Linked DNA regions of Drosophila melanogaster. The protein of the gene in region 4 interacts with the protein of the main gene of each other region in a pairwise test. Each region holds a gene or a part of one and is shown on either strand. Other genes may lie near its edges.

What was found.
Region 1: the proteins of SmE (region 4) and Rtf1 interact in a two-hybrid assay, tested with the Drosophila melanogaster proteins (one large-scale study listed by BioGRID).
Region 2: the proteins of SmE (region 4) and dan interact in a two-hybrid assay, tested with the Drosophila melanogaster proteins (one large-scale study listed by BioGRID).
Region 3: the proteins of SmE (region 4) and alphaKap4 interact in a two-hybrid assay, tested with the Drosophila melanogaster proteins (one large-scale study listed by BioGRID).

Annotation. Positions count from the first base shown.
Region 1 is NT_033778.4:22,371,933-22,381,223, forward strand, and holds Rtf1 (Rtf1), read left to right. Parts: upstream 1-3,157; 5' UTR 3,158-3,259; coding exon 3,260-3,340; intron 3,341-3,451; coding exon 3,452-4,409; intron 4,410-4,475; coding exon 4,476-5,660; intron 5,661-5,717; coding exon 5,718-5,821; 3' UTR 5,822-6,552; downstream 6,553-9,291. Other genes in the region: wrapper, read left to right, coding at 7,870-8,047, 8,920-9,291. UniProt on the Drosophila melanogaster protein: Plays a role in transcription-coupled histone modification. Required for methylation of 'Lys-4' of histone H3. Plays a role in regulation of transcription. Required for maximal induction of heat-shock genes. Plays a role in Notch signaling in the wing margins.
Region 2 is NT_033777.3:25,180,232-25,188,770, forward strand, and holds the start of dan (distal antenna), read left to right. Parts: upstream 1-4,151; 5' UTR 4,152-5,198; intron 5,199-8,539. UniProt on the Drosophila melanogaster protein: Probable transcription factor with a role in the retinal determination (RD) network. Regulates ato expression and is required for normal R8 induction and differentiation.
Region 3 is NT_037436.4:6,007,579-6,015,044, reverse strand, and holds alphaKap4 (alpha Karyopherin-4), read left to right. Parts: upstream 1-4,023; 5' UTR 4,024-4,093; coding exon 4,094-4,393; intron 4,394-4,460; coding exon 4,461-5,489; 3' UTR 5,490-5,599; downstream 5,600-7,466.
Region 4 is NT_033779.5:7,882,336-7,888,718, forward strand, and holds SmE (small ribonucleoprotein particle protein SmE), read right to left. Parts: upstream 3,116-6,383; 5' UTR 3,009-3,115; coding exon 2,724-3,008; 3' UTR 2,595-2,723; downstream 1-2,594. Other genes in the region: CG7102 (uncharacterized protein), read right to left, coding at 1,202-1,493, 1,576-2,246, 2,320-2,453, 3,973-4,135, 4,200-4,362, 4,593-4,717; CG34132 (uncharacterized protein), read left to right, coding at 3,314-3,469, 3,542-3,640; Spn28Da (serpin 28Da), read right to left, coding at 5,456-5,595, 5,653-5,815, 5,870-6,383. UniProt on the Drosophila melanogaster protein: Plays a role in pre-mRNA splicing as a core component of the spliceosomal U1, U2, U4 and U5 small nuclear ribonucleoproteins (snRNPs), the building blocks of the spliceosome.

The DNA.
Region 1 (9,291 bases), on a different chromosome or scaffold from region 4:
AAATTACTCGCCAAAACTCAACCACTAATTGTGCAAATTATTTGGAGTAATTTCCTAATTTGTATTCTCTGCTGACCGAGATAGTTGGCAGCCATTCATTTCAGTCAGCACCACCGAACCAGGCCAATTAATATTCATTTGGCCCAAACTCACCCGCTGAACACTTTCCAGCTGGGTGGAAAATCCTTTATTTAGCGAGCAACTTTCCGCGCTTGTTTTTCTTTTTAGTTTATTCTCGTTTTTTTTTTTCGGACGAGCGGGATTTTGTAATTCCCCAGTTAGCTGTTGACGTTGTTTCTCCAGCTGCAAATGCACGACAAATTAACAGCCAGAAAGAGACAGCCAGGCGGGCCCAGAAAAAGACGGGTAGCACAAAGGGCCAACAAAAAATGAAAACAAAATGCCGCATCCTTCTAAAAAAAAAAATAAATGAAAATATAGGGGGAAAGCCACGCCCGCGGCTTGGCCACAAAAAATATTGAAAAAGTGCGGAAAACTAAAACTCTGTCACTTGCTGCTCTGTGAGATTTGTTTTAACAACAAAAAATGTGGTCTTGGGAAGAAAGAGTTTATTCAAGCAGCATAAACCCGAAACACACTCGGAAAAAAGTAAAGTAAATTTAATATTCGGATTTCAAAACTATTTAATTAAATAAAACAATATAAGCTTAGAAACTTATATATTCGATCAGTGAACGTAACTTTATATATGAATAATAATACTAAAATTATAATGATGTATTTGTACATTTATAACAATATATTGATATGCATATACATAGATTAAATTTAGATTTTAAGTTAAGTCCAAGCTGAAGTTTCAGTGTATCCACCCCATCCTCACCTTTTCCGTTATGTGAGGCTCAACGCTCAGCGGGCCATGTTTTTATTGGATTTTTCCTCTTGTTTTCTTTTTTCGTGAGATTTTCGCACCACAAAACACTGAACCGACGCACTTGTGTTAAATATTTTTTCTTTCTTTGCCTATTTGCGTTTAGTATTTTATGGGCTTTTTGTTTGCAACCACCCCCGTCTGCACTCCACTTGAAAACACTACGCTACACGGTCGCCAAAGCACTACACTACTACACTACACTATGCTGCGATGGACCGTTATTGGAGCTGGCGTTTACCGTTATTTGCTCCGCACTCGCGAGCTTCTTTCGTTGAACTGGCGAAAAAGAAAAAAAAGCACTCAAATTCACCAGCGAACTTTGCTAGTTTTAACAGCTAGATGAGCCGAGCTTTAATGGCCGCTCTCGCTCTCTCGAGAGAATGGTTTTTTTCCGCTCCCTCTCACTCTTTCTTACCACTTTTGGCAAAACAGCCGGCGCAACAAAAACGCAACGCCAACGCAACAGCGCCGCCGGACAAGAGCTTTCAACCCAAAAATGGCAAAAACAAAGCGGGGGGGCAGGGACAACCCCCTTGGGCGTTCGCCGCTCTTGTTTTCTCTCTCTCTCTCTCTACCGCCCTCACTCTCTCGCTCTGCTGCGCATGCTCCAAAGCTGAGCTTCAAAGCTCCGAGCTCGGCATTTCGAGGGTGGATCGTCGGGGGTTGGGTGGTTAATGCGAAATCCATCTACAGGGGTCGCTGCGAAATGGTCTTGTATTACAGAATCCGCAGATCAACAAATTAATGGGAAAATATATTGTTTACAGGAATTGAGAAACTTACGGGCAAGGGTAGTTCATAATGTTTATTATGTTTCGAAGGGTCTTATTGAAGGCATCTTTAAAGTGAAGCACACAATTTTAAAAAGAGATTTATAGTAACAGAAGAAATAATTTATTTGTTCATCACGTTGAGAACTCACTGTTTTGAAATATGGTTTTTCGGTTGGGCGGTGGCATCGGGTTGGTTGTTTTCATGAGTTGTCGCATTGCTGCTGCTCTCGTCGTAGTCGTTGTTGCTGCAGAATGTGCACTTTGTTGAATGTGCAATGGGCTTCCTCGTGGCGCTGTTATTGTTGCTACAACTGCTGCTACTGCAAATTGCCACGCAGCATTTAAGGCGAATTATGAAAGTTCGTATGTGGGTGCGTGTTCCACCCTCCACCCCCCAAAAAAAAACCCACCCCTTTCGCCCCCGCTGGCAGCATGAACTTAGGGAAAGCGCGCTCGAGGGACCTGGAAAACGCCTGCATTTTAATTAATATTGATTGTAAGCTATTTTATGTGTGGGGAAGGGGGGCAGCAGGTGTGGCTTTAATTTAGTTTTCAAAATGTGTTTTTGCGTGGGGCACAAACAAGTACATAACCCACTTACCAGCGTGCAGACAAATGTTTGCCTATTACAGGGTACACAAAGTCAGCATTCCCGCCCAGCCATTCGGTATCATCATGCAAATTGAAGGGGGCTGGGATAGGGATAATGGGGATGCCGAAATTTGCATTTCAATTCTGCCGCCGCCGGCATTTCCATTCCCCTGCACCTCCACCCACGTCCCCACCCCACCCCTTATGTTTACCTTGCTCGAACAGCTTCGCCGTATTTTTTCAACTCTGCTTTAAGTGTGATTCAGTGTTGCGCTCGACAGCGCGGCAAAATGTGCACGTGCTGCACCAGCCGCAAGGTATTTCCCCGCAGTGGTGGGTGGTAGGTCCTGTCGCGTCCTGTCCGAGCTCAAAAAACTCCAAAAGGAATTGGGCTCGAGTTCAAAATAAGCGATTATTTAAGGGTGTCACATGACATACAAGGGTACCAAATTACTTAAAAAGGAGAGTCTGATATTTTAAAATGAATCAATCAAAGGGACTACTATTCGTTTTAAGTTGTTTTTTTTTTTTTAACAATTTTACAAGCAAAATGAGTTCGAAGATAGTTGTCAAGGATACAAAGATATACAATTGTTTATATTCGCTATTATTATTGTTACTATTAAGTTAGAATAACTTGCTTACATAAAATAAACTGAATCCAATTGGGTAAATTCACTTAAGCTACACGTGAATTTGAAAACACGATTTGTTGCTTATTTATAAAAATATAAATAAAAGTCGGAGATTCCCCTTGAATCCCTTTTGAAACTGTTCCCACTCAATGTGTTCCCTGGGATCAAATAGTTTTCCCGCGCTTACAGCTGACAGCTCGATTACTGTTGCCAGCCCTAGCATATCGATAGCACGTAGCGAGGACAGACAAAATCCCGATAGGCCATATCACACTCGTTGCCATCTCCAACGGCACGCACTAAAATTTTTTCGTTCTGATTTGGTTAAATTTTATTATTAAGTAAAGGCCAGGAAACGATCGGAAATGGGCAAACGGCGGACGCAATCCCTGATCGACTCCAACTCCAGCGATAGCGACAGCGAGTCCGAGACCAATCTGGAATCGGTGAGTGGCTATAGAATAGATCAAATGCATCATCCGCGCCCCTTTCTCCATATTGCGATGTAACGAAAATCAATATAAATACTGAAAATACACCTTATATGTAATCCCCAGGACCTGATGTCGCTCGCCAAGAAGCGAAAGAAGCCCCAAACGGCGGCCAAGTCAAGTTCCCGCTCCGACTCTGATTCCGACTGGGCCAACAACAAAGCTGGAGCTCCCTCGTCCAAGAAGAAGAAGCGTCAGAAGCCCAGCAGAGACTCCAGCTCCTCGGAGTCCAATTGGGATGACGACAGTCAGGATGAGAGGCAGCCAGCGAGGCAGAGTCCTGCACAGACGCAACAGGAGCACAAGCCCCCGGAGCAGGCCTCCCAGCCCGCCCAGCTCAGCGAGCAGGAGGAGGGCGAGGTCTCCGATAGCGATTCCGACAAGTCCAAGTCCAACTCCTCCTCATCCGGCTCCGACTCCTCTAGTTCTTCCTCCAGCTCCGACTCGGAATTTGACGACGGGTTCGATGATGACCTCATGGGCGATGATGAGGATCGAAGGCGTCTCAATGGTTTGTCCGAGAAGGAGCGTGAAACTGAAATTTACAAGCGCATTGAGCAGCGCGAGATTATGCGAACGCGCTGGGAAATCGAACGGAAACTGAAGCTGGCAAGGCGCGGCGAGAAAAACCAAGAAAAGTCCAAGAACAAAGGAGAACGGGCCAAGAAGAAGAAGGAAAAGCGCGAGAAGAAGGCGAGGAAAGCCAGGGAAGCCCAGGCGCCCTTGCCAACTCAAGCTTCCACATCCACACTTTTAGATGTCGAACCCAAGCCCAGCAACGAAGTACGGTCAGCGAGTCCGTTGTCCACGCCTGCCCTTAACCGAGATGCGGCTTCCACTTCAGCGGCAGTGGCCAGTATTATGCCCGACGATGCAGCTTCCTCCGCTGGCGTCTCTGATTACTTTGATCACAAGGAACGTTCCAAGGAGCGCAAGAAGAACGTGGAGGCCAACAAGACGGACGACAAGAGGAGCAATGCCATGGCCTTATTAAAAGCCAAAAGAGAGGGCAAGGCTAAAAGAGGTAAGCATCAGTCGATCATAATCGTCATACGACTCTAATGTGTTGTTTTTTCCATTCACCTTGCAGAAGAGGAGGAAGCCAAACGCATGGCAGAAAAAGATCGTGATGACGACAAAGAGGAACTCGATAGCGTATCTGGTTGTAAATCGGCCGTGAAACTGAAAGCCTCTGAAATATACTCTGACGACTCAGGCAGCAGCGATTGGGATGAGGAAGAAAAGCCCGCGGGCAAACGTTCACGTTCCAACAGCAGCAAGGCCTCCAGCGAATCCGAGGACGAAGAAAAGGCGCCTCAGCGGCCCGTTTTTATAACCACACGCGAGGATCTTAACAAATTGCGTCTATCTCGCTACAAAATGGAGCGATTTGTGAACTTGCCAATCTTTGAGAGCACTGTACTCAACTGCTTTGTCCGGATAAGTATCGGAAACAATGGCCAGAAACCCGTGTATCGAGTGGCCGAAATTGTGGGAGTGGTTGAGACGGGGAAGATCTACAGTCTGGGCACTACACGAACCAATCGTGGATTGAGACTTAAGCACGGAACCCAGGAGCGGGTCTTCCGACTCGAGTTCATTTCGAACCAGGAGTTTACGGAGAACGAGTTCAACAAGTGGAACGAGGTCTGCCAGCAGTCGCACGTCCAGATGCCAACGATTGATCTAATAGCGATCAAGCAGAACGACATCAAAAAAGCATTGAACTACGAATTCAAGGACGAGGACGTGGACAAGATCGTGGAGGAGAAGAACCGCTTCCGGAACCGACCCACCAATTATGCGATGAAGAAAACCTGCCTGATGAAGGAGCGAGATGCAGCCATGTTGCGGGGTGACTACGACATTGCACAGGATCTGGGACAGCAAATCGACGAGCTGGAGAACCGAGCCTCTGAGCTCGACAAAAGAAGATCCCATACCCTCAATCTGATCTCCTACATAAACGACAGGAACAGGAAGAAGAATGTGGAGGACGCTGAGAAGGCAATTTTAGAGGAGGCTCGGGCCAACAAAGGCCTCAAGATCTCGGATCCCTTCACACGTCGCATTACTCAGCCGCGCATGGGCTTCAAGGGTGCCAAGAAGGACGAAGATGACATGCAACTGGCACCACTGCCGCCGCCACCCCCAGGAAAAAAGAGGCCCAACGAAGCAGGAACTTCGAGTGCAAGCGTCAGGTCCACGGACTCCAAGGACTACAGTCTCTACTCACTGCATGACTTTGACATTGACCTAGATGTTCCGCTACCAGGTATGTAACTAACGTATTCTGCAGTTGAGCAATGGGCATAACCATTTTCTTTTTTAGTCAATACGAATTCAGTGCCCAAGCCGGCTAGCAAACCAGCTGAAACAGTCTCCAAACGTTCGCTGAATCTAGAGGATTACAAAAAAAAGCGCGGTCTTATCTAGAAAAGGATGCCGCTGGTCATACATATACTGACAAAGCGTCGCATGTTTACGTCCTAGTTTAGTGTAGTGCCCAAATGAAATGAATACAGCGATCGTTTGCTTCAACGACTCAACCAACTTAAAGAGCAACAAAAAAAACGACGGGCAATCAGCTCGGCTTATAGTTACAGTTCATATATATATATAATAAGGTTGACACAGAAAGTTTTAGATAGGTCGGGCGAATTGAATATCCCAATCGAGGATACTTTCTCTGTTTGTGTTTGTTTTGTTTCACTATTATGATATAATTTTTAGAAAAATTATGCAAGCAACACTTAAGAATCAACAGTAATTTCGAACATTTGGAATGCCTATGCAGATAACGAACTTATTTAAGTATATATTGTGAAATTTTTAAAGTTTTAAGCTAAAAATGTTATAACGAAAAGAGTAAAACCCCATCCAGCCTAATCATTTCCAACGATTTGTTCCATAAATTAACAACTAACATAATTAATACGGAATTAGTTTTCAGCGAAGACTTAATCGTTTACTCAGGCAAATGGCAAATTTGAAGGATATTCCATGGACAAATATGAAGAGGATTATTGAAAGGGTTATATAAGACTCATTCAAGCGAGTATGTATCCGTTGGTTGTAACCGTTCAATGCTGTATTAGATTAAGGCAAAATTCATCAGTTGTAGCAACAGCTTTCATATACTTAAATATACATATATAAATATTATTTATAATAAAGAAAAAGACTTAAATAATGTTATTGATCTAGTGTTGGGATACTGTATAGGATTTGTTATCTTGTATACTTGGCGCCTATTCCCACATAAGCACCAATGAAAAGTAAACTTATGGTCACCATTCTGGACTGTTGGACAGTTGGCTCCTCTTAATTGGTTTGCAGTCTGTTTGCGCAGCTGGCTGACTCCTTTCATGTTCTCACCAAATTAATTCAATTAATTCGATGAAATTGTCTTTTAATTGAACACAATCGCGTTTCGTCAGAGGGAAAAACGTTTTTCAAGATCTGCAAATATATAAAGAGACTTTAACGGTCAATATTTGAAAGGCATATTCGAGCTAACTCCGCTGCAATCGATCGAAATACATGCTAAATAGGATGCTAATTTGAAATAAACTTGAATTGATCGCTATATAATGCACTTCCGCTCGAATATTTTCCAAGTTGTTTCGTTCTGTCTTTTTGGGAACCTCGCCGTGCCGAACATATTGTTTCCAAATGGTGAATGTGACTGATCCGATCACAATGATGACGACTGGGATGGGGGCACCATTGTGGCACAATGACATTTTATCTCGGAATATGCAACAGCAGCACGTTCTCTGAAGCGGAGAGTGTAATAGATCAGCGACGGAATCTCGATTCTGAATCCGAAAACTACCGATGCGTGGCCCATGCAAATGTTCTTGCAGCGACATCGGTGTGGGTGCATCCCAAAGCCACTTACACACACACATCTCCCATCAATGCACAGCGAAAAATGGTATCAATACGTAAAATCTCCGATATAGCCAGCTACTCAACCCGCCTATAGAGCTTGCTATCATCCATTAACAAGTTAGTTCGAGCAGGGAAAGTATGTGTTATAGAAATTCAACTTGAACCATATCTTACAGCATCGTATAGTGATTTCTAGTAGTGCTCCCGCTTTTTCTTTCTGTGTACCCATGTGGGAGAATCTCCTTGGCGGCGACTAATCAACCGGCATCGGCATGCCTTATACACAAGTGCTGGGTGCTGTCCAGCGTCAGCGGCTTCTTCATCGTCGCCCCGGACTCGGGCATCTTCCATTGTCCGCCCCTCGGGGCTCCACTGTACATGTGCGTGTGTGTGTGGTGGTGCAGTGTGTGCGGCTCAGGGGACGCCAACTGTGGCTTCAGCTCAAGCGATCAGTTCAAAGTTGACTTTGTCGCGGACCAGAGCGGACCGTTCTAATTCCGACACGCGACCGTGAATTATAGAATTACCAAATCACAGTGTAATTTAATTTAAAGAAATATAGCTAATATAAACTAAGCGAAAATAAAATGACGCCCCATATGTGCTCAGTGGTGAGGTGTTTGCTTGCGGCCCTAATCCTTGGCCAAGTGCAAGCCGAGCTGGATTTTAACAACGATCTCGAAAACAGTCAAAAGTTCAAGAGCATACCAACCACAGTGAAAACCTATGAGAACGATACAGTGCAGCTTCCGTGCACCTTAAACAGTAAGTGATTAACTAAATGCGGTACTAATCTCAGTGCACATTGTGGGTATTTCTGGCGATTAGCCCCGCTTTTTGGGGCCTTGAGTCGGCCACCAGCAGCAATTGGCCATAACAATGAGATTTAATTCGATTGAAGAAATGAACTCACAATGCCACAAATGGAGGTATTATCCGACAATAATAGAGTTACGGCGGAGAAAGTCCAGAAGCGGATTCTATTAATTGAACGCTTAACACACTTAGCGGCGCATTCAAGTCGCCGTGCAAGACCCTCCCGAGACATATTGTTAAATGGCCAATTAAAGGATTATTGACATAAGCAATTACACTTCCAAAGGGTTACAAGATTACACAAACTTACAAATTAGCGTGTGTGCGGGAAGCCCTACGAACAGAGTCGTCCAAATCCACCCCATGAAGAAATATTTAACTAAGCCTTTCAGTTTGGCATGCCAATATATGTAGGTTATTTACAATAGTTCTGGTATAGAAGTTATTAGTTACATTTTAAAGTAATATAGTATGGTATAAATAATCCGGGATTGATAAAGTATATTTCTGTTTTTAAAACAATAACATTTTGAATAGATCTGCTTAGTGTATAGAAATTTTCGTTAGCTAAAACAACGTATACTTTTTATTGTTCATATATCGATGATCAATGCAAACAATTTGGGCTTCGAGCGGATGCTTTTGTTTATTCTTATTTATCTTGGCAGTGAGATAAGCGCCAGATAACTGTTAAGATTCGAGATACAATTCTGCTGAATTCTGTTTCGTTCTTTTAAATATTTGGTAGATAAAAATGGAATTCGCGAAAACATAAAAATAAAACACATAAGTTCATCAAATTTATTACCTCACATACCCAGCTCCCTTCCGCTACGTCCGTTGGCATCGGGACGATGTGGCTCTGGTGGACTCCAGACACCCGGAGCTCCCGCCGCCGGATCGCATAATGCTCTGGCCGAATGGCAGCCTGCAGGTGGCCAACGTGCAGTCCAGTGACACCGGGGACTACTACTGCGAAATGAACTCGGATTCGGGTCATGTGGTCCAGCAGCACGCCATCGAAGTGCAATTGGCTCCACAGGTGTTGATTGAACCATCGGATCTCACGGAGCAGCGGATAGGTGCAATCTTCGAGGTGGTGTGCGAGGCCCAGGGAGTGCCCCAACCGGTCATCACCTGGCGGTTGAACGGCAATGTCATCCAGCCACAGAGCAACACGGGGAATCGGCAAA
Region 2 (8,539 bases), on a different chromosome or scaffold from region 4:
AATGCTGCGTCTGGTTGTCCTGACTGCCAGGATGCCGGACTGCTGGGCTGCCCGGCTCCATCCATGGCTACCTCTTCAATTGTTTCAATTTCCCTGCTTGCCTGCTGGAAAAGCAAAGGAGACCAAGGCGTCCAGCGGACGACGGCCAGCATTTGGCTTAGATTGGAAGGACAAATTCCAGCCTGGCCGTTTGCCTTCTTCTTACGCGGCATCCTGGCCAAAGACCAGTGTCACACACACTCGCACACACGCTCGCCCAGGTAAATGCTGCTGACAAAGGAGCCAGGACTCAGCACCAAAGGGGTGGGGGTGCAAACAAAGGAGCTACGAGCTCGAATATGCAAATCATAGGAACATAGCATAGAAGCAGCAGCTATGGCAGCAGCACACAAAATAGAATACCACTAGTGCATGTCGAGCTCATTTGAAGGATAGGAAGGGCACGAAGGACGAAAGGACGCACTGGGTCCAAACAACTTGCGAGAGCTGCGGTTTTGTCTGCTCAAATCGCCTTAGCTTAGACAAAACTGCAGATAATGGCCAAGGAGGCAGGGTGTTTCGCTCCGGGTTAGGTAGGAAAGAACTGCCAGCATGGGCATCTTGCAGGACCGCCCAGGTCAGCACAATTGCGGACAACGGATTAGACTGTCTCCAGGCGACGATGCTCGGCTCGACTTGACCATCGCAAATATATCTGCAGTACATGAAATCAGGTGTATGTGAAAAGGAACCGCATCTTCTACTGCTATAAAATAGTTTCGCACACAATATATATATATTGGCTTCAAGTATTATTTATCGACTTCATTATCTATCAACTAAATTTTATATCAACTTTCACTTAAAATTCTGAGAAATTATATTTCTCGTTGATATTTTTGAAAACTCGATAAATTTCTATTCCAGGTGGTTCATATTTTTGTTAATCTTTCGTAACCATCAATGTCAGTTCTGATCCAAACTGGTATCGAATTGAATTCCCAAACCCAATTGATGGTGATCGAAATAGAAATAAATGATCGATGAGTTGATTGAAATGGGCAGGGACAAATCGAGTTTAAGGCAAGGTGCAAACAAGTACGCATCTAGGGATATATTTTGAGTAGATCCCAGTGTACGAGTACATGTAGCCGGGAGAAACGCACACAAGCACGAAAAAGCATACATAGAAAACTCGTGTACACACATTTATCTTTTCGAAGGCAAAACTGAAAATTTTGTTTTAGGAACAGTTATACAAAGACAATGTGAGAGGATGCAGATTCCCAGGGCGGGTGGGTGTTGGTAGATGGGTGCTGAAAATCAAGCGCACACGTCTTCTAGCATATGTACACACACCGACACACACACACATAGCCACACGTTCGAACGGAAATCAGCAAGGACCTATGCGTGTACATATAACCAACCATCGGGGGTGACCAACGTCCAGCCCAGTGCGCCTTCATCTTTCAATTCACGCGAAAATTTCCTTCGCCATCCGGAGGTGTGACATGAGGGGTTGGGTTGATTCAGGGATGGATGGGGGATTCTGGGAGGTGAGTCGGGTTGGGTGAAAGGACATCGCAGGACGACGGTGACAACGACGCGGGCTTGCCAGAGTTAGGGAGAAAGTGAATTGAGTTTAGTCGAGGACGACGAATTCGTAATTGTACACACACACGCAGCGACATTAAGGCATCCAGCACACACACACACACTCACAAATGGACACACATACACATCCGAAAAGGGGGGTTTTGACCAACTGAAGGGGTGGTGTGGTGGGCGGTTGGGCGGTTTTGGTGGCTTGGTGGCTAGGACGAAGGCGGCTGGCAAGGAGCTGCAGATATGAGAGAAAGTCCGGCGGCCAAAGAGAGGACGAACGAAAATGGAAAATGTTGCCTTGGTGGACACAATGGACAATGGACAATCGGTCGGGTTGGGCTCCGCTGTCTAAGGGGCGGGGGGTTTTTAGGTTGGCCGATGAAAATCTGAAGTATATATACCCAAAAACACACACCAGCACACACACTCTAGCACGCACATTGGCATAAAGCAACAACTCTAAATTTTCGCAGCAGCAAAATTTACGCTAAAGATGCTGATGTGCCTGCGGATGCTAAGAAGAATGTGCGTCTGTGTGGGTAGCGTGTTGCCAAACTGCTTCAGTGTGTGTCCAGTGAGTGAGGCTGCGGGTGTGTGTGTGTGACGAAATGAAGCGACCCGGGCAGGCTGCTTGGCTTTTTAGTGGCAAGGATATGTTTCTTGCCAATGCGGCCCCATGCCGGCCATCTATACTCGTGGTCGTCCGTAGTCCGTCGTCCGTCGTCCGTTGTCCGCTGTCCGTATTCCGTAGTCCTGCGTTATTGTTGCTCCTTGTTGTGTATACGCCTCTACTTATATGTACGACTACACTATATCCTTGGGCCTGTGTTTTCGTGTGCGTGTGGCTGTGCGTGTACGTGTGATTGTGCGTTTCGGACATGGATTCAAAAACCTTTCTTAGCGATTTCCCGAAAGGCAGCAACTAGCAACTCTGGCGACACTGCTGCTGTCTTTTTCGTTGCCGTTGTTGTTATTATGGTCAGTGGCCGCCTTCGTTGGCCAGATACAATAGGGAAATAGGGAGCTATGTATGTGCGATTGTGTGTGTGCTCTGCGCAAATGTTTTGCATAGCAACTACTAAGTCTACGACCTCAAAATGCCTATGTGTACACACGCATTATATAAGATCGTAATCTCGGGGCTATCCCACGATGGTGCAAATACTTGTCAGGTTTTTCTTCTCTCGCAGAACTAATCAAAATACACTTTGACTTGAAACTTGCTTGGGAATGATATCAACAATCTATTTAACATGGTTTTTTATTCCTACCTAGAGCTTATCAGCTCGGTAATTAATATTACAAGGAACCTAAACATCTTAATGCGTAACCATGTTAAACATTGGTGTATACCAAGCATTGAATATGTTGTGCACTAAGTATATGAATATGTATGAATATGTCGGCACTTTAATGGAAAACATAAGTTATTGTCCTGCCTACCTATATACACTACAATTATATTATTCTTGGTAGCTAAATATGGGAAATACATATTTTGAAGCTGGCTATCACCTGAAATTTGCAGCTGATTAGTTTCTTGTCCCACAATTTGAATTCGATTATTTCGCCATCTGACATTTCTAAACCGCAGCAATTTGCCTGCAAAAGTCGATGGAGAAACAACCACTATGTCATGCCCATATCTTTGCGATCGAGTGTCCGTTCGAGAATTCCGGTTCCTTCGGCGATCGCCGGTCACGCTCCAGCGAAAAGAGCGACGAAAAGAGCCAAGAAAGCCACTCTGTTGGACGGATTCGCCTTGTTTTCAAGAATGTGGGTTTCCCAAGGGGGGTTTCCCCGTGGGGTCACCACCTCCTGCCGTCATAACTTCGTTCGGTTCGGGCGGCAAAAAGCCGAAGACGAGGACGAAAGCTGCTCTCTCACTGGCTCTCTCCCTCTCTCTCTCTCTCTCTCTTAAGGAAGAGGATGTTCGGTTCTCATTTGCCTCAGCTCTTTGCGAAACGGTCGCGAAAGAGAGGCGAGCCCACGTAATCTGCGATGAAGGCATGTATCAAAACAAAGCGAGGAAAACTGGCCGCAATCACAACAGCAACAACTGCAGCACATGACAGCGGGAAAACTAGCAGAATTATCAGTGACGATAAAAGGCGCACCCCCTACTGCGAAAATTAGACAGGGATTTCGGCTAGGTTTTTCACGTTCTTCTCGCAGATCCGTTGCTCGTTTGATAGTTGTTGCCCAGCGTTTAAGGAAGCAGAAAATGGCTTAGCTAAACGCAAGCAAATGCCTCCTGAGGTTGCACACAGTCTTACACTGGAAAAAATCTAGATTTTACCTAAAACTAATACAGAATACAAGGAAATATAAGCTTGGCAGAAAAGTAATATATACTTTTCATCACAAGCGATCGTATCATCTATTCGTTTATTTGTATGAAATTTCATTTTCATAGTTATAATCATGGAATATATGTACATAACTAAGAGATACAAAATTGCTAAATTATTATACTAAATTTCGAATTCTTACCAAATTTAATAACATTATCTTTACTAAGGTATCAAGATTTTTCTCTCTGTGCTCACACACACACGTGGGCGCAAGAAAGGAGGCCGAAAAGGATGTGCGTCTCTCAATCTCAAAAAGCCTAGCACGAGTATTGCGTCGTCTTCGTTGCACACAGCTGTGTGTCCGCACGTGTGTGTGTGTGTGTGTGGGAGGATGTGCTGTGTTAGTATGTGTGCTCGATATGTGTGTGTGTGAGTGGACACTGGCCTGTGGTTGGGCCGGCCAAAATGCGAAAATGCCAAAATGCGAATATTGCGAACGGGGCAGCCAAAGCGAGAGGACTTCTTCGCCGCCGTCTTGACCGTTATTAATCATTGTACATTTGGCTGTCACCGAAAAAGGCCGCGAATTTCGCAACAGTGAGAGCGAAAGAGAGCGGGCGAAAGAGAGTCCGAGAGAGGGAGCGAGAGAGAGCGACTCACGCACACGTGAAAGAAACAAAAACGACAACTACAAAACTACTAATACCAAGGCAGACCAACTGACCAGCACACAACCACCACTGCAGGACGCATATATCTGCGAGTGTGCTTGTGTATGTGAGTGAGAACGAAACGCCGCATTTCGTGGACGTGCGACTTTAAATTTCCCGTGACGTCGCCGCCGTCGTCGCCGTGCGGAAATTCGCCGCGCTAAAATCAAAATTCACTCAAGTCCGCCGCGGTAGTTTGTCGCCGCACGCTAGCCGCTCAGGTTCGCACATCCACGTCACAGCGACGCAGCGTCACAATATCACAATATCCTTCGACGAGCGCGAGAGAGAGGTCGCACCGCACCGCACCGCATGTCCTGCCGCTAAAATTCGCACGCCACAGCAGCGGTAAACATCACGCCGCATCGCGAGCACAGTGTTCGATTGTGATTGACCGAGTGATGTTATACTTTCAAATGAACAACAACATTAACTGAAAACAATAAATTCAAATCCATGTGAACTATAAGTAAAGTGATTTAAAAACATCGCCGGTCGAGATAAGAATAATTTAACTGCTGCAAATAGTTGCGCTATCACCGAATTTCTCCCGCCTTCGCTGGAAGAAGGCACCGATCCATTTTCGCCCCCGGAAGATAACTAAAAGGTTAGTATTTGATTTCACCGGTGAATTGAGCAATCCGTAAAGTGTAATTGTTAGTTCTGCATTAATTAATAACAGTTAACTGAGTGTTTTAAACACAACTTGAAGAATTGGTGACACAAGAAAAAATATTAAATAATCAAAAAATATTTATTTAAATCGGAAACCAAACATAAAAAGTTTTTCGAGAGATTAGTTTTGAAGATTTATTGTTTACCTTTCTACATAACAAAAACGAATTATTTTTACACAATTTGGAAAACAATATAAGTGCAGTTCTTTGTGTATTTGAATAGTTGCCACATTTTATAAATTAATAAGTACAAATCTTAGTAGGTCCTTCAAATAACAACTTAACAACTTTTTTATACAAAAGAGCAGGAAATATTTTACGAGAAAGTATTTATTCATATTTATTTATAATAATATTCAGGAGTGATAGATATTGTGTATAACATTAATATCTTATGTAATTTTATTATTTACCTCCTAACACTGCGTTAGCAATTACTTAAATTTGCTTTCCATCAAAAATTAATATTTTTAATTTTTTATTTAATTTTTTTACCTCCGAGTTTAGATTCAAATATTACTTTGTCCATATGATACTTGGTTTGTAAAATAAGCTTGAAAAAATGTAAATTTTATATAACTAAAGAGTTTTAGTTAGATTTCCTTTATCTACCAAGTTTATATTGAATTGCAATATTAACAAACACAGGAAACCGGTTTTATTGGCCCCTTAATGTATGCAATACTTTTTGATTGTATTTATGGTAAAAAGTTATTTTCCTATCCGTTTAGTTGTTGAACGCTTCTGTGTCACTATTCTCATCTTGTTTTATAAATTAGAAAGTATTTAATAAAGTTGCTTATTATTATCTTTCTTATTTTTTATTTTATTTATAATTATATTTTTCTCGTACATCATTAGCATTTCAGTGTTGTAAAACAACATCATTCATAACATCACTGATATTTCAACACTAGGAAAATTATCAAAGGATTTACATATTTTTATTTATTTATTATATAACTGTAATTCTGAAAATCGATTCATTGTTTAAAATAGTATTGCCCATACATGAGACCATAGTTAGATAATTTGATAAAGTTCATATTGAATCCCCCGACAATTAATAAATTCGTTCCACTGCGAAATGCCGACACAACATTAATCGGGCTAATCATAAACGAAAACACACAATAAAAAAGGTGCAATAGTGCTTAAAGCCACATAGATCATTGGTGCCAACAGGTCCAACATTACAGCAGACACATGGTTTATTTGCACACACTTAACTGCGGTGAGGGAAGCATCCCAGACATCCCAGACACACACACACTAACACACGATTGGGTTTGGACCAAAGCAACTTTTTCTTTTATCTACGGAATTCTTATTTTTATGTGTTGCCTCGTTTTTGTGTTTTATTTCTTTCTGCATTAGCACAAACGAATGGAGCTATCAAACGCTTGCACATATTAGTACTAGTTTCAGTCGTTGACCTCCATTTGCCAGACTCTCCTGCCCCCCTTCGCTTGCCCCTCCCCCCGCCTCGCTCATCCCGACCCATCCCATTTGACCCTCCTTGGTGTCCTTGCCACATTGCCACATGCATTGCCCCTCTGTGTCTGTGAGTGAGTTCAATACGAAGCCAAAGAAACGAAAAAAATAGTAAATACAATAAAATTATAATTGTATATAGGAAAATCAGAAGCTCTTAGCCCACACACACACACACATACACACTCACGTGTACGATGAAATGGCCAGACGGTTGGCCATTACAGACATACTGACGGGTATGGCCATTCCGGCATACATATGTCCTGTCCTGACTAGGTGTGTGTAAGTGTTCGGGTGTGTGAGTGTGCATGTGTGCACAGCAGCAACATCAGACACAGACGGGCCCCTTCCACACACACTCACTCACACACACACTGACAAACTTGGTGTAATTCTTTTATATTTATTTCTTTCATCTTTTTCTGTTGTTACTAGATTTTTTACACACTTCTCACTGTCCCAGTTCGGTTCGTGAAAAGTTTAATGGCGAGCCGGCTAGGACAAGGACGGACCCACTGCAGAAAGCGAAAGTAAAAATTCTTTTCCTTCTACCCCATCTCAGACCCACCCATTCCCATTTGCCATTTCCCATTTCCCATTCGACTCCGCTGCTGAATGGCCAAAGACCTTGTAATTTTTATACAGCGGTAAAAGTTTTATTCGATATGTGTTTGGGTGCAGGTTGTTCTCAGGTCGCTGCTTCTCTGGATCTCCGCAGCTCCGGATCTGTGGGTGGTGTTAGTTGAATGGAGTTAGGTGTATGGTGTATGGTGTTAGGTGTTTGCTGTTTGCTGTTTAGGTTGTCGGTAGTAGGGGCAGAATCACATGCACCACCGTCGACACAGTTATTTGCTGCTCTATTGGTTATGAACAGCCCGGAGTGTCTATTTTTGTGGTTTGGGTGTCAAGTGAGGGGGAGCGAGAAATGGAGGCTTAAACTAGATTGGTATGCATTAAACCGCATACTCAACCAGGTGACAAACGCATAACTATTAGCAGTGATTACCAACGTAGCACATTAATTATATAATAATAATAATAGACTTAGATTACCTACTTTGTAGATAAATACATTTGATTTGCATACGCTTTAGAGTTAACTAAATAGCTTTAATTCAAATACTGGAATCTAGTACCACTTTTCTCATTTAAGTTTTCTTTGCATACAAAACAAATAATAGAAAGCATCCTAGCATATCCTATAACAATACCAACCAGATTAAATATTTGGCAAAACGATGCACCTTATCCCTTTTGGTCCTTGCCAACTGCTTATTCCAAATCATAAGCTCAAGTCTGCTTAAACAAGCAACCGAAGGAGATAAGTCCAGTGATTCAGGAGCCTCAAATTAATAGCTGGCAACGTGTAAACTCCATTCCAAGTGGCTTCAAAGCCAGCCAAGGAGCGATGTGCGTTTTGTAAACAGCATTGCGATGGATGGCCAAACGAAAGACTCCTCCAGTTTGGTCATCTGGACTCTCTTAGTTCTCGAAAGTTTCTCTTCCTTTGAGAAGTTCGCTCTGCGAGGGCACGCACACCAACTTGTGCTGCCAGTATATTTGAATGCCACACACATATATATATATATATAGATATATATGTATATATACAGATATATCCGTACATATATATGCAGGGAAAGAAATCATGTGTCAGTCATGCGCAAAACGTGTTTTTCATTTTAAAATTGCACCATGGGGCGAGCTCTTTTGCATGCCTCACTTTCTGGAGAGATGGAGGCGGAGCATATTGTTGCTCGCTCAGGTTTCTGTT
Region 3 (7,466 bases), on a different chromosome or scaffold from region 4:
ACACACACGTGCCAGCCGCAGCCTTAAAGTATGCCGCAAGTTTTGCCGCTCTTTGTTAATGAAATTTTAATCAAGCTGGAAGCGAAAAAGAGTTTGCCAACCAAGTTTGGCGAGCACACATGCCGCACTCCTTTGCTGCGGCTCCTTTTAAGGGGAATTTCCCTTTTTTGCTCCGCCAAATAGCCGGCAGCTTCATTAGAGACGCCTCGGTCCACGCTGCGTATGCGTAATAATTTATTTAAAATGCAATTCGTTTATGCCAGACATTAATCATTCCGGCGAATGCGATAAGACATCGAGTAAGTCACGTTCCGAGGTCGGCTGCATTTATTAACAATTTGCGTCATAAATAAAATTGAAAAACATTCATAATGTCAATGGCGGCGAACGCAGTGAACGAGTGAAAAGTGAGTGAAAGACGTGAGAGCATGAACTAATGGCAATTTCATAAATTACACCCAGTTGTGGATGGTTAAGGGAGGAAAAAGGCGGTGTGGATGAGCGGCTGGTTTACATAAATTAGACAACAAATTTCCCAGGAAAATGGGAACAACGCGCTGGCAAAAGGTAAATCACAAGGCGGCCCCAAAAATGACAACATTAAAAGCAGCCAGGTGGGGTAACGTACTCTTAAATGAACACCGTAAGAAAATCCAGTATGCAGACTAAATCATTTCAACTGAACTTATCTATTGATGTATAACTTTCTCTTTACTTTTTTTCCAGTGATAAATTTGCGAAAACACTTTTACTTAGAGCCTTAATTCCCTGCCCATTTTTTCGTGGTATCAGGCCGAGTTGTTTAACATATTTGTGTTTTGCTCTGGCTGTTACGCCTTTTCCTGGCCGAATTCGAGTGAATAATGTTCGCTTAGCACGGCAAATAATTATTTCTCGCTTACTGCCAACTGGCATGCTATTTGGCAAAGGCTTTAAGGATAGCTTTTGGTCCTTTTCGACCGCCCATCGCCACCCACTTGGCAAGCCCCCCGCTTTTGGTCTCCACTTCATTATGTGAATTTTGAAATTGTTTTTTCTTTTCTTTTTGCCTCCTCACTGTTGTTTCATTGTGTTTTTTTGCTGCGGGGCACAAAAACACCAAATATATAAAAAGAGACTGAAAAAGAAATGCCAACACGTTGGCTTGGCTGAGCAACCCCTCAAAAAGGTGTTGAGTTGAGCTAAATTACAAAAAATTGCTGCTGTTGTTTGTGTGCATTTTTCTTTAATGATTTGAATATGCAAAGCGCGCCAAACGAAGCGAATGAAAAGAATTTTAATTAGTTTTGGGAATGTTTTTCGGTGCAATTAAAGCCAAATGCCAGCCAATGCAATAAACAAAACAATTATTATTCTCGGATATTTGGCATTCGAAATTCTCCATACTTTGGCTTATGAAGGCAAAAATGATTGGTATGCCTGGTGCACAATGGTTGGTTAAATGCTAAACTGTTTTCAAAAATAAAAACAGCAACAAAATATGCATGGCGCAGCGAATCGATTTGAGAAATCCGCATCGAATTGGCAAATAGCTTAGAATTTTTCCTCTACAAAATGCCGGAGAAAAACAAACCAGGCCAAGATGGCAATAAGGAACAGAAAATGTCCGTTCACAAGGATTCCTCTACCTTGCTTTAAAAGGACAAGAGAAGAGAAACTATTTTATATACGTATACGAACAACGGAATAATTCGACTACCTTTCGTTCGATGTCTGGCCAATGTCCCATGACGTCCTCCTCCCCTCGAAAGCAATAAATGTTCAAATCAATTGAAACGTTTTGCCAAAGCCTCACACCCAGTGTGAATCCACCCCTGATATAAATCGAAGGAGCTGGGAATGGATTCCTGGACAGCTTAAGGCGGCGATTTGGTTAGCCTCGGAACAACAGAAAATCGATAAGGGATGCCAAGGAATGTCAACTTGTTTTGAACTAGTCAGTCAGGAAGGCGGGCGGGCAGGCTCAAGGAAACCAGATTCTGTCCCACATTTGAGAGCAGAGCCGGAATTGGATAGTAGTCTATACTACACTATATATACGTATTTCTGGTCCACAATTCGACAGAAGTCGACGGCAATAAAACGCCATTTGGTCATAAAAATAGTCGAACGTTGCTGGGTCAAAGTGAATGCGACAACTGCCCCAAGGGGAGGCAGTGGAGTTTGGCAAATGCCCCGAGGAGCAGGGGTTCCTGGATCCTGTCTGCCATGGCAAATTACGAATTTTGCATATTGCCTTTCTTCGTTGGCCTTCTCTCTGATGGCTGTTCCCTTGCCCCTTTGGCCCATTAGTCATTTTGGTGCCGGGTGAGTTTGGCCAGAGACTACGACTATGGCTTGGTGTGTCGCCACTTTGCAGGATGAATGACCCCGGCATAGTTGCTGCCTCTATTCCGCCAGCCAATCCACTCCGCATCACCCCGCCTCGGAAAACCTCGGCTGGCGGAAATTGCGCACACGTCACAGGGCGGCAATTTTCATATAACCGTCGGCCATTTGCCTACTCCTTTCCTCAAAAATGGAGAAATATCGAATGCATATTCCCATTTTTTAAAGGTGAGAATGAATTTGGTTCATTTCATAAAATATTTATTTTAATCGGCCCCATGCACAAACGCAATTGTGGAACATTTACCCATTTGGTTTAGTTACGTATTTTTACGACTGATTTATTTTTGCTGATTTAACGCTTTCAAAATGATTCCTGTCGTTAATTAAATATTTGTTTTAAACACTTCAATGCCCATCGTGTTTAACCCTTGAGCCTTTCTGCATCGCATAAATTCACGTTTAACTGATTTTCGCAACCAAATGCATCAAAAATTCATGCGTGTGCAATTAATGACATTACTGGAGCTCTTGGCCAGTACGAGGTATTTTTTATTCAATAAATTATAGTCATTATCATTATTAAACAGCATGAGGGGCTCTCTTCAAAATGCCGAGCATTACCGTAATGCGTGCTCTACTTAATTTTTAATCACAATGAACGCCATGAAATTGTCATAAAAACTAAAATTTCATTTTATTAAATGTGTGGAAACAAACATTCGGAAGATTGTAATTTTTAGACAACTGCATTGGGAAAATCACTTTAAAAGTTTGTGCATTTTCGGATCAAAGATAGATTTTTTTGGTTCTTTAATGTGTAGTTTTCGCCTTTAAGTTGGTATTTTTTCAATTAACTGCCACTCCCACACCATTTCCGCCCATACCCACACACATTTATCCACATGTAGGTCAAAAATGGCAGAGCACAAGCAAAAGCGTTGCATACCTTCGGGCTGTCAATTTATTTTTCGCGCTTCGCATGTTCTTGGGCCATGTTTTTCCGATTCTCCCGCGCCTGTTTTTGCGTCCTTGAAATTTATGCCTTCGACGCAGGCAAAGCGCCAAGTGTTGAGAACATCGGAGATAGGCACAAGTGCCACATGGCATGTAATGCGCTCATTATGCTGCTGTACCTACACGAATATATATATATATGTATATGTATCTACATATAGATGGATGCCACATGCAAAGGATGCCTACCGCCTTTCGCCCTTGGAACTGGGCCAATGTGAACGGCATTGTCTTTTGGGTCGCCTCCGCCGGAGAGATAATAACAACAAATTATTACACTTGCCGAGGGACCGTTATAGTGGAGCAATGGGATGGGGAGCAGAGGTCTTTACTGGGGTAACTAAATTAAGCATATCGTTGATAACCTAACGCAGATCGGACGGCATGCGATAAGGCATAGTCCTTTATCCTGGCTGGCTCTTTGCCAGCTCGTGCTGTGGGTTGAAACTGGGTGGGTGGCCTTCATCTCTGCACTGTGAAAAATATTTGGAGATTCTGTTTGCAATTCAAACAGAATAAATATAACATGCAATCATTTCAGTTGAGAGCTAATGTAACCTTAATATTTATTTATAACTATAACTATCACAGTTATACAAAAAGTTCCCGTGATCAAGAAAGTTTCCGAAAACGATTCAGTTAAGAAGGTTCTGCCCTATTTGTTAAAAAAAAGAAACACAATTTTATCGTAGACCAAACACATAGCAAAATTTTAAATACACAATACAAAATTTTCCATACAAATACAATGCAGAAGCGTAAACGCCGCTTCCTAAAAAAAGGGCAGAACTTGATGATGCTGCGGACGCTTCGATTGGAAAAAGCCAAAAAGGCTGAGCTCCAGAAAGAGCTGACTATTTACAATGCTTTAACCAAATGTAAATTAACCTCCTCGGAAGTTGTTCCCGACGTCAATAAGTTACTTAAGAGCAATACGATAGGAAACCTGGTGGAGTCCCTTGGCCACGGAAATAAGAACAAAATTCGAGCCGACGCCGCAGATGCTTTAGCTCATATAGCCAGTGGCTCATCGGAGCACTCAAATTTAGTGGGTTTTATATTATTTTCTAGGCTATTGCTATTATTCCTATTATATTGTAATTAAACTCTTGCAGATTGCGAAGGCTGGCGCCGTGCCACGATTGATTCGCCTTCTTCAGTCACCCGATCCTGAAGTCTGCGAAAAGGGTATATTGAGTTTGGGGAATCTCTTGCACTTTGCTCCGAACCTCCGTGACTATATCATAAGACACGGACTTATGCAAAAGCTGATGTCTATTATTCAGGATAAAAGCACTTGCACTTTAATGTTGAGTCATGTAACCTGGGTTCTAAGAAAACTGTGCATAAGCTCTCAACCATCGCCACCTGATAATGCAGCTGAGATCATTCAGGCATTGAACATAGTATTGTACAACCCAGAGGCCAACGTTTTAGAGGACGCACTTATGGCAGTGCGTAATTTGGCCCATGGAAATGAAACGATTCAAATGTTACTTGATTTTGAAGTTGTACCCAGGATCATATACTTGCTGGAGCATCCGAACGTTACGGTTCAGAACGCCGCACTGCAAGCCCTAATAAATATAGCAACTGGATCCGAAGAGCAGATTCAAGAGTTGCTTAACAATAACCTTTTGCCCCATTTATCGGCTCTGATGTCCAATAGTGATCCAGATATTCGCTGTCAAGTTCTTAAGCTTTTGCTAAACATCGCTGACGGAAATATATTCCAAAGGCACGCCATTATGAATGCAGGTCTCCTGCATAAAATACTGGAGTGCTTAAAAGCTGATGCGATTTCATTAAAATCTGCAGCTGCCTTGACAATCACCACGTTGGCCATCGATAAGGACAAGAATCTCCTGTGCTATCTTATGAGACAGGGAGTAATTCCAGAGTTCTGCAATTTACTCTTCTGCCAGGAAAGAGACATCTTATCTAATGTGCTCGATATACTGAGCACTATGCTAGATGTGGATCCATCTTTCTCGGCAGAGGTGTCCGGCATCATCGAATGGAGTGGAGCTTTAAATAATATCAGGATGCTCCAAAGCAGCGAACATGAGGAAATCGCAGCTGTGGCACGTAAAATCATTGGTAACTACTTTCCCGCCAAACCACACATCGCAACTAAATTCTAATGTGCTTTTATATGAAGTAACATTAATCATACCTTTGTACTTTTCCATCCAAATTCCAGAACTTTTTCTATATAAAGCGATTTTATATTGAGTGAATATAAAATGATTTGAAGAACACTCTCTCTTAGTACGGCCATGGCCTTGAAAAGAGATGCTTAAATACTGGCCGCAAAAGAATCGTTTTTATATGTATGTGTCTGTATTTTTGTGTAGGTCCTGCATCAATTGAACTTCCGCATGAAAAACAAGTTTCGTGCGAAAGCCAGATTATTGCAATCATAAATTTTTATGATTTTCCCATTGGTTGCAGCTCGAGGCAAGAGTGTGGAAAGTGTGGGCGGTAAAAGCGTTCCGTGTTGCGTGGGCAGCGTGGGAAAAGTGCTGGCATACCGCACCGAATTTTATGTGTATTTAATAGCCTTGCAGATATGATGCAGAAAGTTATTATACCCAGCACGGCCGAGTCCTCCCATTCCCCAAGCAATGCTGTAGGAAACCGATAAAGAAGGGGAAAATAAGCTATATATACTTATACATTTTCCCATATCAGCGGCCTGAGTTTGTGTTTTTTCGACGGCCATTAAAATGAAATTTAATATAAACTTAGCGCCAAATGACGAGGGCCGTAAAAAGCATATTGACATTGCCACAAGATCAAGCCATCCCATCCATCAATCAATCAATCAGGCCTGACACCAGCTGTGGCAGCCGCAAAAATGTATCCACAGGACTCTGGTGGCAGGTAGAGGATGATGCAAAAAATGTAATCTAATCCAATTACTCAACACTGGCAAACAAGGGGGAGGGGGGCAAGTATTCCCGACCGGGCGCTAATGGACGAGTCCCCAAACATGTCGCATATCACATGTCTACAGGAAAGTTAAATAACCGAGGGCAATCGCAAAGTATCAATAGCCAAGAAGAAAGAGTGCGGATATGGCCAAAGCCACAGGGCCATTTACATCATCAACCCCAACTAACCAAACGAATGCGTTTGATTATTAACCAACAAAAAGCCGGGTGGTGGTAAGAGTGCAAATCCTGGCCCAAAACGAAGGAAAAGAAATTGAAATTCATGCGCATTCGGAGGGTTCTTCCTATGCCTTTGTTAAGGCCACGGGGCTTACAAGATGGAATATCTTGTTGGGTTGGGCTTGTGGTCCCCATTGCCTTCTATTGACGAAATTATCATTTCTGTTGCTTCAATAAAACGACAGGCCCGAAACTAATATGGTTTCATCTTTACCCCCCCAAAAGAAGCAGACTTAGGCATGAAATTGAAAATGTAACAAAGGGAAAAGTGAGAGAAAAATGAGAAGGGAGGAATATGTTAGGCTGATTGGATGGTGAAACCTCCGATGATGATGATGAGGTGACATTGGGAGGAAAATCGCATAGTCTGCAAATGAATTTAAGCAATACTTTTATGCCAGCCTACCGATTTATCGTGGATTTCATTTCACTTTGCACAAGCAAACACCTTCAACTTTCACTCTTGGCAATCGAATGGCAATTATGCCCGCCCATAGTTCAAATATTTGCCAGTATTTCACCATCGGAAACCGGTGCCTGATGCTGACACCGAGTCCGATGCCCAAACCCCGAACCGATTATGCAAATTTGTCCGGGTTAACGATTTCATTAAATGCCAGAACCGGCCACGCCTTATCACCCAACTGCCCCTGCGGTCTGGCCAACTAATTTCAATATCATCCACTGCCTCCAGGAGCTTGCATTAATTCTCACATTTAGCCCACAAGCCGCAGGAGGCGTGTCCTTGCTGATAAACAGGCACATCGGAGCTTCCGTTTAGTCTGCCAACTCTGGACTCATAACAAATCCCCCGGCCTCGTCCTGCAGCACACAGGATGTCCTGGATAGAAGGTAAACCGGGCGGACACATGGTCGCAAAACTGAGCGACAACCAAGCATCCAAGGGGTCAATTTGGAGCGTATCAAAAAGGGACAACAGTTTTA
Region 4 (6,383 bases):
CCTTAAGTCGTTAACAAATTTTGACTGCCAATCCGTTGTGCAGCCACAATAAAATAAAACGCCACAAACATCAAGTGTTTGTTGCTGGCTGCCATTGTCGAGGGTTCTGTTTAGGTTTTTACTCGGGGTTTCGGATGTCCAATCCCCGGATCGAAACGAATGACAAAAATGTGGGGGCCCAAGCCACCGATGTTGATCGATTCGATCAGCATAAAAAAAGCTTTAATTAGAACCAATTTAGAGCGTGGACCAATTTATCAGAAGCATTTTGAAAAGTAGTTGAAAACCAGTCGAGAGCAACTTCAGCATTTCCGACGGCGGGTGTTAGGGAGGTGTTGCCGCACATTTCATTATATTGTAGCTCAACATTAGCCGACATATTATTGTTATGGCTTATAAGCCCAACTGAAGTGAACTGAAACAGCAAACTGAAATTGCCATTTACGCATTTGTTTTTCTTTGTCAATTGTTCCACTATTTAAGAGGTGTGGACCAGGTTCAAGTGCACATTCATAACTATTATATATTTGTAACAATATGGAGTAGTGACTGCAAGAGTTAAGTGATGGGTTAATGAACGTGCCGAAGGGAAATATATTGTTTCGCAGATAAAAGAAATGTTTGAAATAGTTTTGAACAATTTAGGGTGTCATTCGGGTTTATCGAAATAAATATTTGTAAATAATAGTAAATATTCGAAATAAAAAGAAGGGCAATGAAACCTTGAAATTTCAAGATTGTCATGTTTTAAAAATTTGTTGTAATTAAAACTCTACTTCCAAGCTGTGCAATCCATAGTTCAAAGAAAAATGCTGAAGTGACAGCATTCGTGCCAGGCACCATGCTGAAGTATTTATTCAGCGAAAACTACCAACTATTGGAGCTGCCCTCTTGTTTTTTATTTTTGCTAACACTTTCAGCTTTACATACAATTGGGAAACCAGTTAATTAATTTGGTTCGATTCTTGGCATCAAGATGGAATTCAAGACAGCCGCCAAAAAAAGTTTTCTTTATATAACAATTCATTAATTACCTTTCGATTTCTGGTTTTTACCTTGGGCGGAGTCATGAACCCGACACCTAATGCCATTAGCCCAGCCGTTGCGGATCTGGGATTACAATATTCGAGTGTTTGGATCGTTCAAGGAAATAGTTTTATTGCCAGCATAGCTGATGCAACTACAAGTTGTTTCCCCAATTCTAGTATCTATCGTATTTTGCCTTTGTGGGCACCCCAGGAGCTTGGCCGTTTGTTGAGTGGTTCAGGTTCTGATTATTGCTGTGATTTGCTCCACTATTACTACTTCCTGCCGGCGAGGAAAGGGTATAGACCTCATAGTCGGTGATGGTAAAGTTATAGTCCCCGAAAAGTGTCAGGTGAGCAGCGTTGGTTCCGTCGTAGGAATGCGGAAGATTCGAGTATGAGTCCATGTTTGTATTACAGTTGCTGGAAATGAGCAGATCGGCTCCAGCACCAAAAATGGGACCGCAACTAAAGGGGAAAGCAGACATGGTAATCAGTACGAATTCCTAAACATAATGTAATATATAAGATTATTTTAGACATCACTTACTCAGGATGATAGCAAATGGCATATGGTTTCTTTACAATATCAAACTTGACCGGCTGTTCCCCATTGGCTGGATTCAAGGCAAAGAGGAAGGCTCGCTCGGACTGAACATATCCCCCCTTTCGGCTTGTTTTGGCCCACGCCACATCCGTATAACCACCACTGATCTCTCCATGCGATCCCAAGCCAATAACCATGCAAGGAGCCACGCCGTCGCAATAACGATGAAAGGCTCCAGAATCGTAGCCATGAGTGGACGCTCGGAAAACTAATCTCCAGGATTGCTTGCCCACTCCAACCCAATTATTGAGAACAGTCTGTAGTGCCAGATTGTCATTCTTCAGGATTTGGGATCCGGGAAACATGTTGACCGCTACAGCTAGGCGGGGCTGAAGTCTCTTATCGTTATCCATCATCTTATTGGCATGCAAAGCGGCATAGCGATATCGTTCTAGGGATAGTTCCATAGGTACAGCTCCTGTAGGTTCCACTTCCTCCGCGAAAACTTGGCTATCGATGAGAAGCAGACGCACGTGACCCATTACACCGCTTAAGTGTTGGCAGACACGAGCACGCTCCTCCTCAGTCCAATGTGCAGTGGGTTGGGTGACTCCTGCCTGGTATTTGGCCCAGGATAAAACGCAGCGCCACACTTCCTCCTCTTCCAAGCAGAACTATTGGTAGTTAACAGTTTTGGTAATTAAAGAAATTCAGTAAATTGAGTGGTTATTCATTATAAACTCTTACATAGTCTGAGGAAATAATCTTAATAATGGCATCCTTTGTTAAAGTAAGGAAGGCATTAGTCTTAACGCACTCATTTGCATTTTCCCCTATGTAGATGATGCAGCGTTCCATAAACGAGGCAGCGCATTTGGCACCTGAAATTTAAAGGGAAAGTTTAAAATTAATTCCTTGTTTTTTAAAGACACTCAACGGCTTTTACCTTGAGACAGCATCCTATTCTATATGTCCTGAAATCGGATCGTATTTGCTACCTTACCCATTAGAAACACTTGATTACAGAAAGTCTACCATTTATTTCAACATTCGTCTTCAGATATCGGCTTTACATTTATTTTACTTATATTAAGGGCGTTCAGCGTTTGCAGGTGGAATTCGAAGGATTCGCAGGATGGCCGCTGAGTCGCCTAGTCCTTCGTGGGACTGACGTTCTGTATGAGCGTGATGTTGTCGCCCTTGAGCATGATCCTCCCGAGGTTGCGGCGCTGCCGGGTCTTCACATAGACTTCCTCGGCGTCGTCCAGCACCAGATTCATGTACTCATCGAATCCCACAATGTGGCCCTCGATGCGCAGCGATATGTTCTCGTATAACCAAACTTGCACGCGGGACCGGTTCTGCAGGTAACGGAAGATCAGGTTGATGGGCTGCACCATCACCTTCTGCACCTTGGGATTTCCTTTGAACGACATTTTTGCTGATTTCCGACGACTTAATTTGAGTTAAACAAATTTTCGCTTCTTTTTGCCGGCGTCTTCTTTTCGTCCAGGCGATAGGCAGAAATATCGATGGCACAGCACAGATGGTCACACATAATCGCGGCCTACCGAACTATCGACCAGCCTAAAGATACCAAAATGGTAAATCCTCTGGTAGCATAACCATATCGATAGAAACACTATCACAATCGCACTGTTAAGTTTTTGTGGTTGGGCAGAAGTTGTTGCCATTTATTCATAGCTGAATTAAACTATAGTTTATAAAGAAAACCAAACAAATGGCTATGGCTAATGTGGACAAAGGTGAACTTATGGACCAGGTTAAGCAACAGATTGCTGTTGCGAATGCCCAGGAATTGCTCACGCAAATGACCGAAAAGTGCTTCAAAAAATGTGTCAATAAGCCGGGAACTTCCCTCGATTCGTCCGAACAGGCAAGCTATACATATCTTATTTTGCACTATAGAATATGTATTTAAATAGTATTTCATTAATATCCAATTTAGAAATGCATTTCCATGTGCATGGACCGGTTTATGGACTCGTGGAACCTCATTTCTCGGGTGTACGGCCAAAGAATACAACGTGAACAATCCAAGTTCTAAACACACGAATCGGCTTCTGCATTTTGGAGCAGCTTGGGACTAACTATATCTGCCAGCTATTGATTAGTTGTTATATCTAAAGTTTGATAATGCAATAAAAACATGCATTGCGTGTTACGTGATTCTGATAACACAACGTGCATATGTTTTTTCTTATCGATATGTGATGTGGTACAAAAAATACCAAAACTTTCAGAATGGTTAGTCTCAATACATTTGACATAGCATATTATGTAGAATGTATAAAGTGTTTTGGCGCGAATATGCAACTTCACATAATTGCTTACTTTTAAAGGTGTGATTTTCTAAAAGAGCTACTCAATATTACTAACCTGCTTTTTCGTGTATATCCATAACGGCGGTTAAAAATGTGCAGGCATTATCCACCGACAATGTCGATATAACGTGATCCTCGCAGGCAGTTCGTAGCTCAACCACACCGATATCCTGTGCCAATATCATCATTTGAAATACTTGCGAGTCCTGGAGAACCAACTGAAAAATGAATTTTGGTTATAATTTTATTATGTTAGATGTTACTAATAAGTAGTTTTCTTACCTTTGCGGTGTAAACGTACAAGATGAACTGCCTGAATAGTTCCGGATTCACGTGTGGTAATCGTATGGTGGTCGGAGTTGAAGCTCCTGGGGCTGCTGGCGATACTGTGCATCCGGGAATTCGACACACTTCACCTCTCTTCGCAGTCTTGAAGCTCTTGCACCTGAAATCGAATTGAGTGAATGGAAAGGCAAGACAAATTAATTAAGTGACCAACTGGAATACCCGGGATTCCAGCACGCAACATTGTAAGATTCCGAAAAAGGCAACCGTAGGCAATTATCTTATTCCACAGAGAAAAATTATACAGTTATTGGCATTTATAAGATTTTAAGGTATCACCAAAATTTATTAATCTCTTAAGTATTTGTTTGAAAAAACAATTTAACTTACCGAGCCATTAGCATTAATCTATGGGCATATATGCGCTCATCTCTGCCACAAATGAATACCACATCTGCACTATCCTGATCCTCGGAAAGGCGCTGCAGATCCTCGATCAACTGGGGCAGACTCATGATTGATTTTTATTATTAAGTGCGGTATTCTTGGGCTCAAAAAATTGCAATCATTCGTGCAGAAGTGCACGTGTTGCCTTGTCCCTCTGCAAGCACTGGGTTTTGTTATTATTTTGCGATTGGGTTTGTTTATGTTTTCAACTTGGAAACTCTCTTTATTTCTCTCTTTTAATCGCTGGATTCGTGGGAGCGCAGAAACCGGTTCCTGGCTGAAAATTCTTGGCCGACACCAAGCCACAATCGATTTGGCAAACAATATGGCCTGGGAAACAATTGCAACAAGATTAAATGGTATAACTTTTCTACAAATATTATTGTAATAGTAATATTGTGCACTATTTATTTTACACAGCTGCAAACTAAGCGTTTTTTCAAACAATTTCGACCTTTCCTCCGCGAAATCTGATTTTCTTTGACCGCTGGTCGTTCTTCTCGCGATCACGATTTGCTAAAGACTGAAGAAGAGACTTGGGACAGGTTGCTCTTTTGGATCTTTCTCAGTGTTTCTCCCAAGCAGGTAAACGGGATTAGTTTTTGTTTTGCTTTTCTCCATTCCGCTCTCTCTCAGTGTTATCTTTTTTGAGAGACTTTTTATAGCGAATGCTATAGAAATTTTCATTTATGAATGAAACTAATTAAGGACGAGACGAATTTTTCTTTATTGTATTCGCAAAAATTCACTTTGCGCAATAGATAAAATGGTGTAGAGTTTCTCGACTATTAGATACCCGTTACATTCTATATGGTTATACGGTCAATGGGATTGCTCTTCTTCAAAGGATCAACGACTCGGCCACGGAAATATATGTTGTCATCATCGCGAATCATGAAGACAAAGGGACTATTGACTGTAAAAGTAACCACACTAGTCGCATAATCTGAAAAATACCACAGGCAATCAAGCAGGAACATGATACAAATGTGCCATAATTTACCAGATAATCCTCGAATGGGGCTCGCAGAAGCGGATCCTGCGGACCCGCCTTCTTCGTCAATCTCTATAAAGGCTTTGTGTACGACTTGGCTGATTCTAGTGCCAGACTGGTTCAGTAGGACGCTGATATCCGACGAACTATTGAAGAGATCCTGTATTCCCATCTGCAAATTTAGAAACATGTAGTATATTAAATAAGGTGAGCAGAATCTACTAACGCTTTTAAGAGTTTCGACGAGCTCCATGCGGAAATCGATTTTAAATTTAGGAAGCTGCACATGTACATCCATTTCAGTGAGAACTATCTGAGGGTAACTTTCGATTGTGGCTTCTGCCTGAGTTAGGGACCCATTGTCCTTGGGCAGAACGATTACCATTGAAAGGTTTGAGTATGCAAATGGAAGCTCAATAATTTGGTCTATGGTCGAAGTACGCATCTTAAATCGACCCACTTGCGACATCATATTGACATTTACTTGGTAACTTTTGGATACATAGAATACCTTGGGCTTGGTGTTCATCTTATCGAATCGCGTCTTCCAGTAGCCCTTGAAGAAAGCTGCGTTGATCATGACCGCACTTTCATCGGGCGTCAAGTCACTGGGTATTATAATGTCTTTCACATTATCTAGTGTCTGGTCGAGCACCCAATCGTTTATAGCCCAGGCTGCCTTCAATCGATCGGCCAGCTTAATGGCTTCTGCCTCGGCCCTAAAGTGCTTATTGACTAGT